Astyanax mexicanus: one gene and its partner. The protein of the gene in region 1 interacts with the protein of each later gene in a pairwise test. Links are inferred from orthologs where the notes say so. Each region holds a gene or a part of one and is shown in the gene's direction. Other genes may lie near its edges.

What was found.
Region 2: the proteins of prkci (region 1) and pard6gb interact in binary tests that used the Homo sapiens proteins (3 or more experiments, as listed by UniProt). The link is inferred for Astyanax mexicanus from reciprocal best matches to the Homo sapiens genes PRKCI and PARD6G.

The regions. Positions count from the first base shown.
Region 1 is NC_064415.1:44,605,862-44,613,708, reverse strand, and holds the start of prkci (protein kinase C iota type), read left to right. Parts: upstream 1-4,736; 5' UTR 4,737-4,964; coding exon 4,965-5,044; intron 5,045-7,847.
Region 2 is NC_064410.1:36,208,437-36,216,457, reverse strand, and holds the start of pard6gb (par-6 family cell polarity regulator gamma b), read left to right. Parts: upstream 1-4,990; 5' UTR 4,991-5,273; coding exon 5,274-5,345; intron 5,346-8,021. UniProt on the Homo sapiens protein: Adapter protein involved in asymmetrical cell division and cell polarization processes. May play a role in the formation of epithelial tight junctions. The PARD6-PARD3 complex links GTP-bound Rho small GTPases to atypical protein kinase C proteins.

The DNA.
Region 1 (7,847 bases):
TTGTTTGTCATACAGTTGCAAGAAAAAGTATGTGAACCCTTTGGGAATACATGGATTTCTGCATAAATTGGTCATTAAATGTGTTCTGAAAAAGTATTTAAACCTTTGTGTTTAATAACTGGTTGATCCTCCTTTGGCAGCAAAAACCTCAACCAAACATTTCCTGTAGCTGCAGATCAGACCTGCACAACAGTCAGGAGGACTTTTGGATCATTCCTCTTCACTAAACTGTTTCAGTTCAGCAATACTCTTGGGATATCTGGTGTGAATCGCTCTCTTGAGGTCGAGCCACAGCATCTCAATTGGGTTCAGGAGGTCAGGACTCTCCAGAAGGCATATTTTTTTTCTGTTAAAGCCATTTGGTTGTTGATTTACTTCTATATTCTGTTGCATCATCTATCTTCTGTTGAGCTTCAGTTGGCGGACACATGGTCTTAAGTTTCCTGTAAATTGTCTTGGTAAACTTGAGAATTAACTTTTCCTTTGATGACAGCAATCCATTCAGGCCCTGATGCAGCAAAGCAGCCCTAAATCATGATGCTGCCTTCACTATGTTTCACAGTTGGGATGAGGTTTTGATGATGGTGTGGTGTTTTTTTTTCCCACACATAGTGTTTGGTGTTCCTTCCATACAACTAAATTTTGGTTTCATCTGTCCACAGTATATTTAGCCAGTTCTTCTGTGGAACATCCAGGTGCTCTTTTGCAAACTTCAAATGTGCAGCAATGTTTTTTTGGACAGCGGTGGCTTCCTCTGTGGTGTCCTCCCATGAACTCCATTCTTCTTTAATGCTTTCTTTATTGTAGATTTGTCAGCAAAAATGTTAGCATGCACTGTAAGCCTGGACAAGTTGGATTTACTTTAAAAAATTGAAGAAACCGGTTGTCTTAAAAAAGTTAAGTTATGGGTAATAAAAACGTAAGTTAGCATAACTTAGAACATCAAGTTATTACAACTAAAGTGGAAATTTGGTAAGAACTTTTAAGTAATGGGGAAAGAAAACTTGAGTTAGCATAAATTAAAACATTAAGTTATAACAACAAAAGGGAAACTTGATTTATTTCTAAGGCAGCCCAGGGGGAAACACTACACACTGATGTTGAGTGTCAGAAACTGTTTGACACACCCAGTATGCAAATAGATTGTGACAGAAGCCAATGGAAAATAATCTGCCAATGGCAGCAGACTTATAAATTGGTTCAACTCAAAGATCTCTGTTTAAATATATATGTGCCCACAAATGTTCAACTAACTCAAAATAGTTGAGTATTGTTTAGAAATATCCAATGTTTTGTAATAACACCTAAATTTACATATTAATTACATGATTACAGAGAACTTTCAGAAAGGAAAATTACCACTTTAGAAAGTGTTTCATGCTCTTTAGATACATACATAGATACATACCAGAGTTTCAAATATTCATATGGAGCATTTGAGCAAATTGGGGTGAGTGTAGCGAGTAAACCTCACAAACCACCCGCTTTACTGGAGCTTCAGAACCTAGCTGTTTCTCTGGGTTAGGATGTTCTGGTATTGGATTATCCTATTTAATACGGTAAAAGCAGACGTATCGGCTTATGGTTGAATGTGTTAAATTTACCTGTCAACTAAGAACACAGTTCCTCTTCTGTGAAAGGTGGTGGATATAAGTTAAATGGATTTTATATTTTTGTGTTGTGTTTAAAACACTGTTGTTTAACAAAATTGTCCTCTTATTCTAAGTATCTAATCAATGTGACATTTTATAACTAACTGAGTATATTATTTTTCTTATTCCATATGTTTATTATCACTGTGTAACACTGTCTCGCCCAAAAAGTGTACACTTTATTATTTATTCTTTAATATATTGCCGGACCGGCTTTAGCTTTGATTGCAGCACATATTCACTGTGGCATTGTTTCAATAAGCTTCTGCAATGTCACAAGATTTATTTTAATCCTGTGTTGCATTCATTTAAAAAATAAATAAATAAAAATAAGGTCTGAACTGTGAAAATAATGATCTCATGCCCCCTGAACCACTCTTTCACAAATCCAGCTCAGTGAATTATGCCATTGTCATCTTGGAATATGCCCATGCCATCAGGGAAGAGTGTTCAGGGAGTGTTCACGCAAACATGCAGCTGCGCAGATTATATTAAACACCTCATAGACTAATACTAAAAGAGATATAATGAAGAAAATCAGTACAACTGTTTATTAACATTGTAAATATACAATATATCATTAAATGTAATTTTATATACACAATGTTCCATCACTTATTTTCTCCAGTTTTACTTACAACACGAATTTGCTGTTGTGGTGTAATTAATAATTCTTTCACTTCCTAAAGGTAAAGATTTTGCATTTTACAGAGACTGTAAGAATAGGTAAGTGGCTGGACTGCATTAGCAAGGTATTACACATGTTGTAATGTAACATATGATACTGCCAATCAGAGGCCATATGTTTGCATGTATGAATATTCATGAGCAAGAGCCAAAATCCTAGCGTTTCTCCCCACCCACTCCTCTAAGGGACTAAAGCAGCGAAACACCTGTTCACTGGAGCATTTTTTTTTTTTTTTTACAAAAAACAGCTCACATGGCATTCATTTATACTGAGACCAAAACTAGACATTTTTAATTAATTCAAAAATGATGGAATGAGACCTTTAAGAAACCCCACATTAAGCCTTTTTACATTAAGTGTTTTAAACTTTTACATTAAGTGTTTTAGCTCTGTGGTTCTGGAGTAACACTGTCCTGCTTGTTTTAATGTTTTGCGGGTGTAACACACCCAGCTCAGCTCACCTCTTCCAGGGCAGTTAGTTAGTTGATTATTTGGATCAGGTGTGTAATTAGTTCAAACCAATGACTGTAGTTAAATAATAAATCCGCCGGGAAGCGCTGCTCCAGAATGAGTACTGGGAACCACTGAGCACCTAAAGCTCACTTTGTCTTATTATCTGCCTTTTAAAAGTCTAACACAGGCTACACTGCTCAGCATCAACAGACTGAAAGTGTTTTTACCTCACTCTACAGTCTGTGTCATATCTCTGCCAGCTTGTTCACGTTCCCTGCCGCTGTTCTGTGACTTCAGTTCAGTGCGCCGTAGCATTAGCTAAAAGCTAGCATTATTTGCATTTTGACTCTTAAACGATCTCGAAACTCAGAGTATCCAGTGATGTTCAGGAGGGAAATGTACACAGAGTAGAACATACAGAGCTCATTCATTGTGGACATACAGAAATTCAGCTTCGACACGGAAACACAATTATGGACATAAACAACATGTCCAAAAAATGACTGCAGGACTGCAGTGGTCTATGTGTGGGGCTAACTGCTATAGTTTGAACGGCCAATCAGCTGTATAACTTACTTACTGTATACTTTTACAGCTGCCTTTACTACAGAACAGTTATTATTAACTCTAAATTAAATTAAATCTACAGAGTGTGTAATTAATGTTGTATATGTTTCTTATAATATTTTTATTATACGAATATATTATATTATATCATTTTTAAAATAATTAATTATTTGTTTGCTACTATAATACCTATTTTTCACTTTTAACATTTTTACATCAGCTGTAAGACTGAAGTAGAGATATTGTTGACCTCTAGTCCAGACAGGCTGTTTGTGAAAAGAAATCTTTGCTTAAGGGATGATTTTAAACCTGCCTAATTAATTATCTTAATTATAAGTCAACTCCATTCATTCAGTTAATTTTGAACTGGCTCTCTGGCGCCCTCCTTCGCCACTACGCTATACTGCAGTAATGTGTTGTGCAGCAGAATGAACAGGAAATGGGCGGGGCTCTACAATCTCAGCTAATCACAGAGGAGCAGGCGTGGCTTGGCAGAATACGGGTGTGAATTAAACGCAGCTGTCTGACTATCAAATGAGAATAAAAACAAAACAGTCATCAGAAATGTGGTAATTAGCAGCGCCACCAGCTGTGTGGGAGGTAAGGGGAATTACACTGGGGCCCAAAATATCTATGAGAACCTCAGGTGTGTAGAGGGGGGCACAATTAACCCAACCTCAAGTGGGGGATGGCGGTATTGGAGCTTTAATAATAGCAACAAGATCAGACACAGAGGTTCTGAACTAGTAAAGGAAACCCATAATCAAAATGAACGTGTGTGCTTAAGGTGGGGTGGTCTGCAGGCTGAAACCATGACATTAGGATCAGGTACTGAGGTTTTGAGGTTCTAGGGTGGAGGGGTACCCAATTTTCATAGAATTGTTAGGGGTATTATTTTTAAATAGGACTAGTGAAACAGATATTTTACCAAATTAGCAACTGATTTAGACTTTTTTGTTTTTATTTAGTAAAATTTTTAGTCTCTGCTTGTTTTTTGTCCTATTTTTTTTTTCTTTAGCAGTAGTTCAAGTTAAGAGAGTACTGAGATTATGAGCGCCGACTGATAAGATTGGTTTACCTTGAAGAGTTGTGAATCAAGAATCGTCCACCCCTCTTCGGCCATTCTTTTGGAATAGTCGGACTCTTTCCGGGCGCTTCCATTGTACTTAAAAAGGGTTGACAAAACTTTAGAACAATATAGTTTTGTGTTTATTCCACAAAGTAACCCAATATTTATCCTTCACACACATGGCTTAAATGTTTTAAATGTAATATTTATTACGTTTTATGTTAAATTCGTTGTTTATTGGTATTAGGTTGGTCTCCGCTCCCCGCACATTCCATAGTTAGTTCGTTCCGCAGTAGAGTCCACTGCACAGTCTGTTGTGGGGGGAGTCGAGACTCCGGCTGTGTTCTCCAGACCAGGCCGCCGCTGTTGTGTTTCGGTCAGACCCGCTCACAGCCTGCCTTTAGCCCGTTTACAGCTCCGTTCTGTTCCGCGGACACACCCAGGAGGACCGGCTCCGCTGACCGGCACTAGCTTAAACCGTAGTCGAGCCGGATAAGGCGGTTTTCTCCGGGGCTTCGCTGGCTGGCGGTTCACGATGCCGACGGTGCGGGACAGCACTGCGACCCACCCGGGGGAGAACCAGCACCAGGTCCGGGTGAAGGCCTACTACCGCGGGTGAGTTCGCGTTAGTTTACTATTTTAAGTCTATATATTTAAATCTTTATATCCTGATTAATAACTTCATCACTACTTTTTAACCTTGTTTGTGTCTCAGAGTTGGAAAATTGGCTAGAACTGTGGTGGTAATACGCCTGAGAAGTTTAGAACTGTGATTAGGCTGAAAGTAAACACTTGTTCTGCGTTTTGAAATGAATTGTCAACGTTTTTAAAACGTTTACTAGACTGTTCAATCCCATATTAACTCACACTGCCGCTAAAATACTTGGGAAATCCCTAAACAGCGCTACATTTCTAAATACGGAATAATCCGCTCCACCTTAAATGAGGCGACTATAACTGCTGCCTTATTTAAGGTGGAACGGAAAGTTCGCGTGAACAGAGCAGTTTAAGACTTGTCTCTAGTTCAGTGTTAAAATGCTTTGAAAATGTCCATTTTTAATGTATACCTACTGTGTCACAGTACGTAGTAGTAGTGTGTCACACAATAAAGGTATTTTAATATATTATCATATTGAAAGCTTAGGTACAGTCTGATACCTGTGCTGATATTCAACACGGAGTACTGTGATCTGATACCGATCTGATCGGTATTCGCCGATACTCCGCTTTGAGGTACTCAGACCAGAATCAGCCGATACTCAGTATTATGGTGTGAGAATTGTATCAGTATTGGCTGAAACATAACATTATGGTACTTGTATAATGGTATCTTTATATCGGCATATCGGATCAGTGTCTCATCAATAAGATAGTGAGATGGGTAACTGTAACAGAATCAGCGATGAATGAATGTTCTTGAAACAGAGCGGTATTGCCCGATATTCAGCCTTACGGTACTCTTATCTGATCAGTATCAGCTAGTGCTGGGGGGTATACCAGTTCACTCTAAAGAAGTGAAGTGACTGAATTTATTTGTTGGTACTAAAATTTTAAAACAATATCCAGCCATATAAATCACAAACCTATATCAAAGCCTAGTCATGCAAAAATAAATAAATAAAATAATAAAAATGCCACAATATACTGTGGAACTGTCATTATCTTGAAAAATACTGTGATATACATTTTTGGTCATACCGCCCAGCACTAGTATCAGCACTGAGGTACTTGGATTGGTATCAGCCGGTTCTCAAATCATTTAAGGTGAACAGATTGCTATCCTTTGATACTCAGCATAGCAGTGCTTGGATTGTTAGGGAGATCAGATTGGTTATTTAGCCTAAAAGTGCTGATGTTACTATAGAGATCAAATTGGCATTGGCTGATATTCAGCGTAATGGTACAGGATTCATAGCTAAGATCAAAGCAGTTTATACTCAGTTATATGGTGTTCGATTAGTAACAGTGGAAACTCGCCTTTAAGGTAATCTGCCAACACCCATGCTTATGACAGATTCAGCCAGTACTCAGCATTAAGGATTGGTGTTAGGATTAGTGTTAGTCGATACACATCATTGCAATACGAGGATCGTTATGTAGATCGGATTTGTATTGTCTTCTGTTTTGTTGTAAGGAGCCTGTCTCAGTATCACCTGACACGGAGCATTAAGATACTCTAATTGGATTGGATTGGTTTGACCAATATTTTGCAATAAGGTACTCCCTGATTCAAGCTGATGCTCTGCATTAAGGAACTCAGATCAGATTGGTATTGTCTGATGCCCATCTTTACTGTACCCTAATCTGGCCGACATCAGTTGATACTCAGCGTTGAGGTATGAATTGGTAGGGTTTGTATCAGCCATTAGCTTTATGGTACTCAAGACCGTATCAGCTGATACACAACTGAAGATACTGAAATCAGATTGGTGTCAGATAATACTTAGCAATAAGGTGCTTGGATAGAACTGGAAATAATTCATACTTAGCAGTAAACGACTCAAATATTGTCTGATATTCAGCATTTAGGTAGATGGATCTTTATTGCAAAATACTCAAAACTACTGTACACAGATGTAATTGGTATTAGTCTCTACTCAGCGTTAATATACTCATATTGGATGAAATTGGATAAAACTTATTAAAAATATTAGGGTACTGGGATCAAATAGATATTAGATGATGCTCAGTGTTAAGAGTCATACTGGCACATAAGGCAGTAAAACATAATTGGACTTCCCTAAGAATAATGCTGTAGTTTTTATACTGTAAAAAGCAGTATTCACTGTGAAGGCCAGCACTGTGAGCTCTGCTCTGCTCCTGTCACACATTGACACCGCGTAAATACACACTGTGGGGTAGACTCTGCTCTTTTCTGGTTTGATCTTTTGGTGCAAAATTAAACACTGCATATCCAGAGTTAGTGGAGTGATCTACAGTAATGCAGTACTGAAGCTGAACCAAAGTATTTCCCAGAAAAGACAATCAGATTCTGCCCCCTCTCAGATGAAAGCATTAATGTTGATGAGGGGAAATAGTGCTTCTGTTTAGTGATGGTTACGGGAGGAAAATATCACTCAGTGCAGTACCCCCTGTTGTGTAAATGGAGCTGCATAGTTGCCAACCTATCAGAGTGACCATGCTGACCCCTTGTCCTCCATCACCTACAATGGACATGTGATTGTCAGAATTTGACTGCAAATTGATGGAAGAGAGTGGTCTGGTCCGAGGAGTCCTTTTTTTTTCTCCGTTACGTGGACAACTGGCTTTGTGAGCACTTTTTTTTGTGGGGGTTTGGAACAAGAAGTCCAATGTAAAAGAACTTTCATAAAAGTATCTGTGTTTGGTACAACCTTCAGAAGGTGCTGTTTTAGTAGCACAAATGTTGACATTTTAGGTATGTACTATATGTTTAGTT
Region 2 (8,021 bases), on another chromosome or scaffold:
TAATGTTTTTAATTACATATTTTACTTTTGCAATTAGGTCCAACGTACAAGATACTATGCTTATTAATAAAATATATTTTTAAGTTATTTTGTGTGCACATTTAAAATTTAAATGTGTACACTGGGGACAGAAATTGCATGCATTCAGTAAAATAGCCCTTTATATATATATTAAATAAAAATATTATGATTATTATTTGCTGAGCATGCAGTACGTTTCTTCATTCCCTTGAAAAAAAAAACAGCATGAAGGTTGTGATCTCACTAACATCAAATGTTACTTTCCTAAAGGGCTAATTATCCCAGGATGGACAGAGTGGGCAGGAAAAAAAATTTGGATGTTTAAATAGCTAGATATTTTTGTGAAAATAAAATTCACAATTGAAATGCCTAAATTATAAAAACTAATATATTTATTTTTTTTAAAAAATGTTGCTACTTAACCATTTCTTCTAAATACTGTATTTGTAATATTGTGTTAATTCAGAGTAAACCTTAAAATGCATTGTAACACAGTGTGTAATGTTAACAACTATGCTGAGCACGCAAAAGGAATGTTATATTTATATTGACCAGTTAAAAAAAATAAGTTTTATTTTTCCAAAGAATAAACTGTTCCAAATCAGCTTAGACTTAATATCTTTGGAATACATTAACTTGTGTTAAAAGTTGAGTGTTTTATTTTGTCATGTAAAGTTACCACATTAAAGATATATTTTTTTGGACAATTAAAAACATTATCAAATGCATGAACAAATATTGTGACAATCCCTTCTGTCATGGTCAGACCCTAAACTGGACAGTACTTCAGAGCATTTATTGTGTTTTTTCAGCTCCTATCCTTCAGATGAGCTGCATGAAGAACTATATAACTGTTTTCAGTGGAGTAACACTGACATCTAGTGCTCTTTACAGAAGCTGAGCAAGTAGGGGGCGGGGCTATATGTACAACTACTCATCTGCCACTAGACAGAGAAACAGACAGACAGACAGATTTAATGATCGAAAAGGAGAATTAGGCAGTCAGTTGCAGGTTATAGGGCAGTTACAAGTGTAGTGTAATGCACAGTATACTGTAGTGTATAATATTTAATGTTTTAGTTTACAGTAATAGTTATGTTATTAGTTTGAGTATTGAACTTGCTGTATGCTGTTATAGAGTCAGTAACAGGTTAACTAACAAGGCAACAAGTTACATGCATAACATGTGATGCACTACATTATTTTATATCTCATTAAACATAGTTAATTGATGCAGTAATGCTTTAATTCATTACTAGACCATTAGGTAGCTCACCTGGTAGTCAACACCTACTTGATTAATTTTAAGAAATAAACATAATGACAGATACTAGATATTTTCTTTAGTTGCACTTAGTATCGTCCTTTAAGGAAACAACCGCAAACAAAATTGCTAAACAATAGTTCAATTTTTTTAAATAAGCTTGTCAATTTTGTAGAGTCTATATGTAAAATAATTGTAAAAAATAGCTGCAAGAGAGTTTCATTTAAAATACCACTAATTGTCAAGTACACTCTAAGACTGAAAAAAAAAAAATAATTTAGAAATTTCATATTTAAAAAAAAAAGATAATTTGTTGAAAACTTGAGTTAATTAGACTTAAAATGTTTAGGTACTATCCCTAAATTGTAAGTTTTTGTTAAAGCAATTGCTTTGTACAATAATCCTACTTTAAATGTTATTGTCAGGTAGTAAAACAGAACTTTCCATATCTAATGTTTGGAAATATAATTATATGTAAAAATAGAACATATTTATTTGAGTTCAGACTGTTTTTTGGTTTATAGTTTATTGCATTTTTCTCTATATAATTACTTAATTGGTTAATTCATGACACTCCTTTTTTTCTGTCGTCTTCATTTATAGCTTTCCCGTCCACTGTCCTTGTCCATCTTCCAGCAGCGTGACAATTGTCTTGTATAGTTAAATTGGCCCACATTTTTTGTACTTTCACTGCACAGTTTTTTTCTTACATATTCACATAATCACTGTGTTTGATATATTGTGCAATTGTGCATAAAAGTGCATAAACATATCACTCCAGTAAATATCCTCTTTTAAGACCTCCACTTGAGTAAAAGTACAAAGACTAGATTTGCCTTCAAATGTATTTAAATATAAGTAAACATAGTCTCTGTCTTATTTCACAAATCTTTTAATAGAATGTCATCAATTATCATATATTTTTTGGTCTATAAGGCTGACTGAAATTATTCCAAAAGAGCATGGACAACTCATCCAGGAGGTCACAAAAAAAACAGAACTGCGGGTCTCACTTGCCTCAGTTAAGGTCAGTGTTAATGATTCAATAATAAGAAAGAGACTGGTCGAAAATAGTATCCATGGGAGAGATCCAAGGCAAAAAAAAAAAAAAAAAAAAAAAACAACAGTCCATTTCAAATTTGTAAAAAATCTTGATAATCCCCAGGAATTTGGGGAATTTTGCTGTTTTACCAGACAATCCTAAACACACTGCACTGACACTTTACAAGAACAAATACTGTTTACAAACACTGTCACTTTAAACCGCACTGAGACACTTTGTCCTGTACTGCTCTAATTCCATTATCATGCTGCTATAGCAAAACTTGCACTCTGGACTTCATGTTGCTGCTACCTGTCTACTCTGCCTATATTTTATTTTTTTGTGTATTTATATTTATCTATTATGTTCTATTCTATTTTTATTGTATTCTTTTATTTTGTTATCTTATTTTATCTATATATCTATTTTAACAACAGCTCTTGGTTGTAAACTTGAGATCACAATTTCGTTACACCTCATGTACCACATGTGATGCGAATGACAATAAAATCTCTTTGAATTTTTTAATCCTTAAAGGAGAATGTCCTGCCATCTGTTCATGATCTCAAGCTTAGGCGTACTTGGCTTCTGCAGCAGGACAATGACCCAAAGCACACAAACAAGTCCACCTCTGAATGGCTTTAAAAAAAAAAATGAAGGTTTTCGAGTGGCCTAGTCAAATTCTGTGGAATGATCTTAAACAGGTGGTTCATGCTGGAAAACCATCCAATGTGTCTGAATTAAAACAATTCTGTAAAGAAGAGTAGGCCACTATTCCTCCACAGAGATGTGAAAGACTCATTGTCAGTTACGGGCTAAGCTTGATTGCAGTTGTTGCCACCAAAGATGATTTGGATATTTTTTTTCCTTTAATCTTTCTCTAATATTAACGTTTGTTTGATAATCTAAAAAAATATCAGGATGACAAAAAAGCAAAAACAAAAAAAGTCTGCAGGGGGCAAATAATTTTTAACGTCACTGTATATATATACATATATATGTATATATATACAAAACTTCCTTAATAGGAAAAAATGTGATGAAAACATCCATTATATTTGTTTGTTGACTTATTTACACTTACTGTTATATTAAATACGTTTATTTCTATTGAAAATAGAAGGTCGGTAACAGTAAAATCTGGAGAAATATTAGCCCCCTCTAGGGGACAGAAGAGCATTGCATGCTATTCACACCACCACTGTGATTTATTTCCTAATGAGCTTAGTTTGGCAAGTTTATTCAAACTTTTGCTTCTTATTTAAGCAGGAACATTAGTGTACTAAATTTCTAGCAATTAATTCAGATTAAAAGTATCTTAAACTAACGCATAAAACGTCGGCTGTTAGAACTTTGCTCTATTCTGATGCTGGTGATTTTCCGTGGTTTAACCGGTAGAACAGTTGGAGGCGCTGAGAGGACGGTGTTAGGGAGGTTAAGCTGGCGCCTTCTGGCCGCACCAACACAGTAAAATCCAACAGCTGATGTGTAAACATCACAGCACACTGGGTGGTGGGTGGTTTCACTCAGACCAATGGGATCATGCTCAGCAGTGTCTGGTAGTGTCTGGTTTGAGCCCAAAGGTAGGAAAGAGGAGCCTTAAATCAGAGCCAAGAAAATGTAAAATCATGACTCAACTAGAAAAAGAGAAATATATAATAAAAGAGCTTGAAAACAGTTAAAAAACAAACAAACAAATACTTAATTTCCAGTGAACACTCAATATCAATATTTAAAAACTAAATTATTATAATTCGAAATTAACCTACTAATAAAAGTATTTAACAGCTTTTAATCCACAAAAATCCTTTACTTCAATAAAAATAAATACTTTCTCACATTTGCAGTAGTTTATTGTTAAACGCAAAAATAGCACAAATTTTGTACAAATGTGTCTAAGAAAAAGTAACGCCGTATATTCCAGTTTGGCAGTTATGAACTTTAAAATAAACTTGTATTCTTTTTTTTAAAGAACCGAATTTTTTAATTACCGTCAGCAGGTGGCGCTACTGTTGGTATGTGCGGCTGCGATTGAACGTTTTTGTTTTTTTAACCACCCGTTTTTCGGACACACCACGCCCCCCGTGCTCTCATTGGCTACTTGGTTCAAACTCAATCCGCCCGACCAATGGGAGAGGCGAGCAAACAATAATAAATAAATAATATATTCCGAAAACAAAATAAGTTTCAAAAAGCGTAGCTTTTATATTAGTCTCACTTTAGTCATTAACAATTACATTTAATATATTTTTTTTGTATTATTGCTCAAATTTGCAGTACAACTTTACTAACTTTATATCAAGTTTCTTCTTGTTTTTTTGTTTTTATTTTATTTTATTTTTTTTTCATTGCTTCTTAATTTTGGATACCTATTTATTTGTTGTCATAATAAATTATTTATAATTCATACGAGATCACATTTATATTTATATACCATTTATATATAGATAACTGTATGCATAATGTTACTGCAAAAAAATGCATAAATAAAACAAACTTAGCTAAAATACTAAAGCGGCGTCAATGGATAGACAAAACCCCGCCTCCATCGAACCAAAGGACCAATCACAATGCCGAAGGCGGGATATTTCCACGAAAATAGCCAATCACGTTAAAGGGAGCGTTTTCTGAGTACGGGTACGGAGTACGGGTGTGAAGCCAGTTGGAGGAGCTGTGGCTGAGTTCATGGAGAGACACGGTGGTGATGTCATTCAGTAAAGTTAAAGTGAGTGTCCCTGACTGAGACGCTGCTTTTGGGCTCTGTAACGCTTTTATTTTTCTGTGAAAGTTTGCGAGCTGCGGTGTAGCGGACTCCCCGAGGACTTCATGCTCCTGCACACCGAGAACTAGTGGGAGTTTGTGGGATATAGGCGCTCGTCTTCTCTCCCTCGAGCCCCCGAGCCGAGGGTCGGGCTCAGTCTGGGAACTTTGGAGCTTCAGATCAAAATGAACCGCAGCTTTAATAAATCGCAGCCTTTACGGCCGCTGGAGCTGGACGCGGTGGAGGTGAAGAGTAAGGTAGGTCTGGAGGGCTTTGGGTTTAAAAGTACTGTGTTTACTCTTCTTAAAACACTGGTGAAATAGTGTTTTTTTAAGTAGGTAAAGGTGGGCTAATGTAGCTAGCCCCCATGTCAACTCACTAACCTAACTAATATTAGCTCTCTGCTCTGAGCTGTCCTCCACTGTGTGTCTTCTGACACTCAGTATTAGTGATAACTACTTTTCATCACATACCTGCTGTTTCTGAGTTAATATTTGGGGTGTTTGAGTTGTTTATGCTGCATCTACAAGCAGCCAGACTGCTAGCAGAGTAGCAACTAGTGCATCTAAATAAATAAAGTAAATTGATTATCATTAAAAAGTTACTTTATTTCACTAATTCAGTTAAAAATATGAAACGCATATGCTATATAGATGTATTGAACACAAAGTGACCTATTTTAAGAGTTTTTTTTTATTGTTGATAATTATGGCTTACAGCCAATGAAAACCCAAAAATCATTTTCTCAGGAAATTAGAATATTATATAAGACCTATTGGTACTTTTGGCAGTGTGGGCAGTGTGTCAAGTCCTGCTGGAAAATGAAATCAGCAATCTCCATAAAAGTTGACACCAGAGAGAAGCATGAAGTGCTGTAAGATTTATCTGGAAAACAAAACTGCACTGACTTCTGACTTTATATAACACAGTGGATCAACACCAGCAGATGACATGTCTCTCCAAACCATCACTAATCATCAGTAAATTTTGCATTTCGTTTGGAAATCAAGGGACCAGAATAGAGTGGAGAAACACAGTTCAAGCTGCTTGAGGTCTAGTGTGAAGTCTCTACAATCAGTGATGGAGAGCCATGTCATCTGGCAATCTACTACTGAAAATCTAAGCTTACTGTAAGTAAATGAAAGCGCTTTACTTACACAAATTAACAGTTTTCAGGAGAGAAATCTGTGTAGTTTAACACCCATTGCTCATTTTACTTTAAAAGTAAATGTTTTGCTTATATGGCAACACCCTTGTTCCTTACTATTGTCACCTAAAATGTGCCTTATGTATGGAAAGAGACCAGAAAATAGACTTTCATTGATGGTGTGCCTTATTATAGTCAGTATAATACAGTAGTCTAAAACAGCTCTTCTGACAACATCTCTCTCTTTAACTGTAAACTTGCTTTAACTGTGCAGTTTGGGGATTTCCTAGACTAGGAACACACACACTTATTGAACGGTTGATTTGAATCAGGTGCATGAGCAGGAATATCTCCAAAATGGACTTGAGCCTGTCCAAGAATCCCCTGGAGTAAAGGGCCCACTGTCCAGATGTCATGTAGATTTCTTCTATATTTTGCTTGCAGTGTGTATCTTTTAAACTCATCTGATTGTTTACTGAACCCTTTTCAAGGGCAGGTTTACAATCACTGGTCATCCTTTAGTGTTTGTCTATCTAGTTCAGGAGTGGCAAGGTCTTTTGAGATATTGGGCCACATCCAAATCTTTCCATTTTTTAAAAATAAAAAAAAGCATAACATCTAGAGATGCATGATGATATCAGAATTATATCACTATCTGTCGATAATTGCTTTTTTAAAACCGATACTTTCTCTCTACATTGACTGCACTACTACCATTGATTTTAAGCTCATTTTTATTTATTTTTATTAGCTTTAAAGTTATACCAGGGTGTCCATTCTCTCTGTAAGTTATAAGTATATATATCGGAATTGGCAGATAAATACATGTGTAATATTGAAAATCGGCATTGACATTGGTGCATCTCTAATATCATTCTTACACTATATACACAGCAGACAAATGAAAAAAAAAAGAACATAACTGTATCACTGACTGACTAACTACAATAATTACAGCCTCTGTCAAAGCTATAATACACTACATCCTATATCCAAATGTTTGTGAACACCCCTTCTATGCACTCAGCTACTTTAAATTACTCTCATTGCCGATAAAAATGTGCAAATGCACACGCTGCTTGTCTAGTCCCTGTAGAAAAGAATTGGCAGTAGAGTCAGACACTCTGGAGCAGATAAAAATGAACCTTTTGACACTGTGCCTAATACTAGACATGGACTAGAGGAGTTTAAATCCTCTCAGCATTTAGTTATGGTGCAGTGGGGTTGTATTCCCTGGGAAGCAGATACAGTTTCTCTTCCCCAAAAAAGCAGGATTTTTAATTTTTAATTAAATAATAATTTTTAATACCCTTGATTTCAGAAATAACAGTAAATGAGCAAGTGTTGTAATACTGTTGTCCATATAGTGTAAAACAATGCAAATTAACTTTATCTAGACCAGTTTCAGAGTTTGTTTTGACTCTGCAGGTGTGCATTGTGCTAGATATCATTTCTGTAGATCATTAAGCCCTACGTTAGTGAGGCAACAGTCAGAAATACTGTAATTAGTATTTTTTAAATGAATTCCCACATGGTGTGACACACCAAATGTGTAAAAATTATGTTGTGCATTAAAACACAGTGAAAGCTTTTAAACGTTAAGTGGACTGAGGCAGTGTTCTTACTAATTCAGAAGTCTCGCAGGTTTTAAATTGGTTCTGCTGTTAGGTTTGACTGTGTTTTCCCACATCTAGCTAAATGGCTGTCTGTGTGTTCATGCAGATTAGAACCTTGATCGGACCAGATCCAGCCCACTGTCTGTATGTTGACCTGCGTGATCTGATCT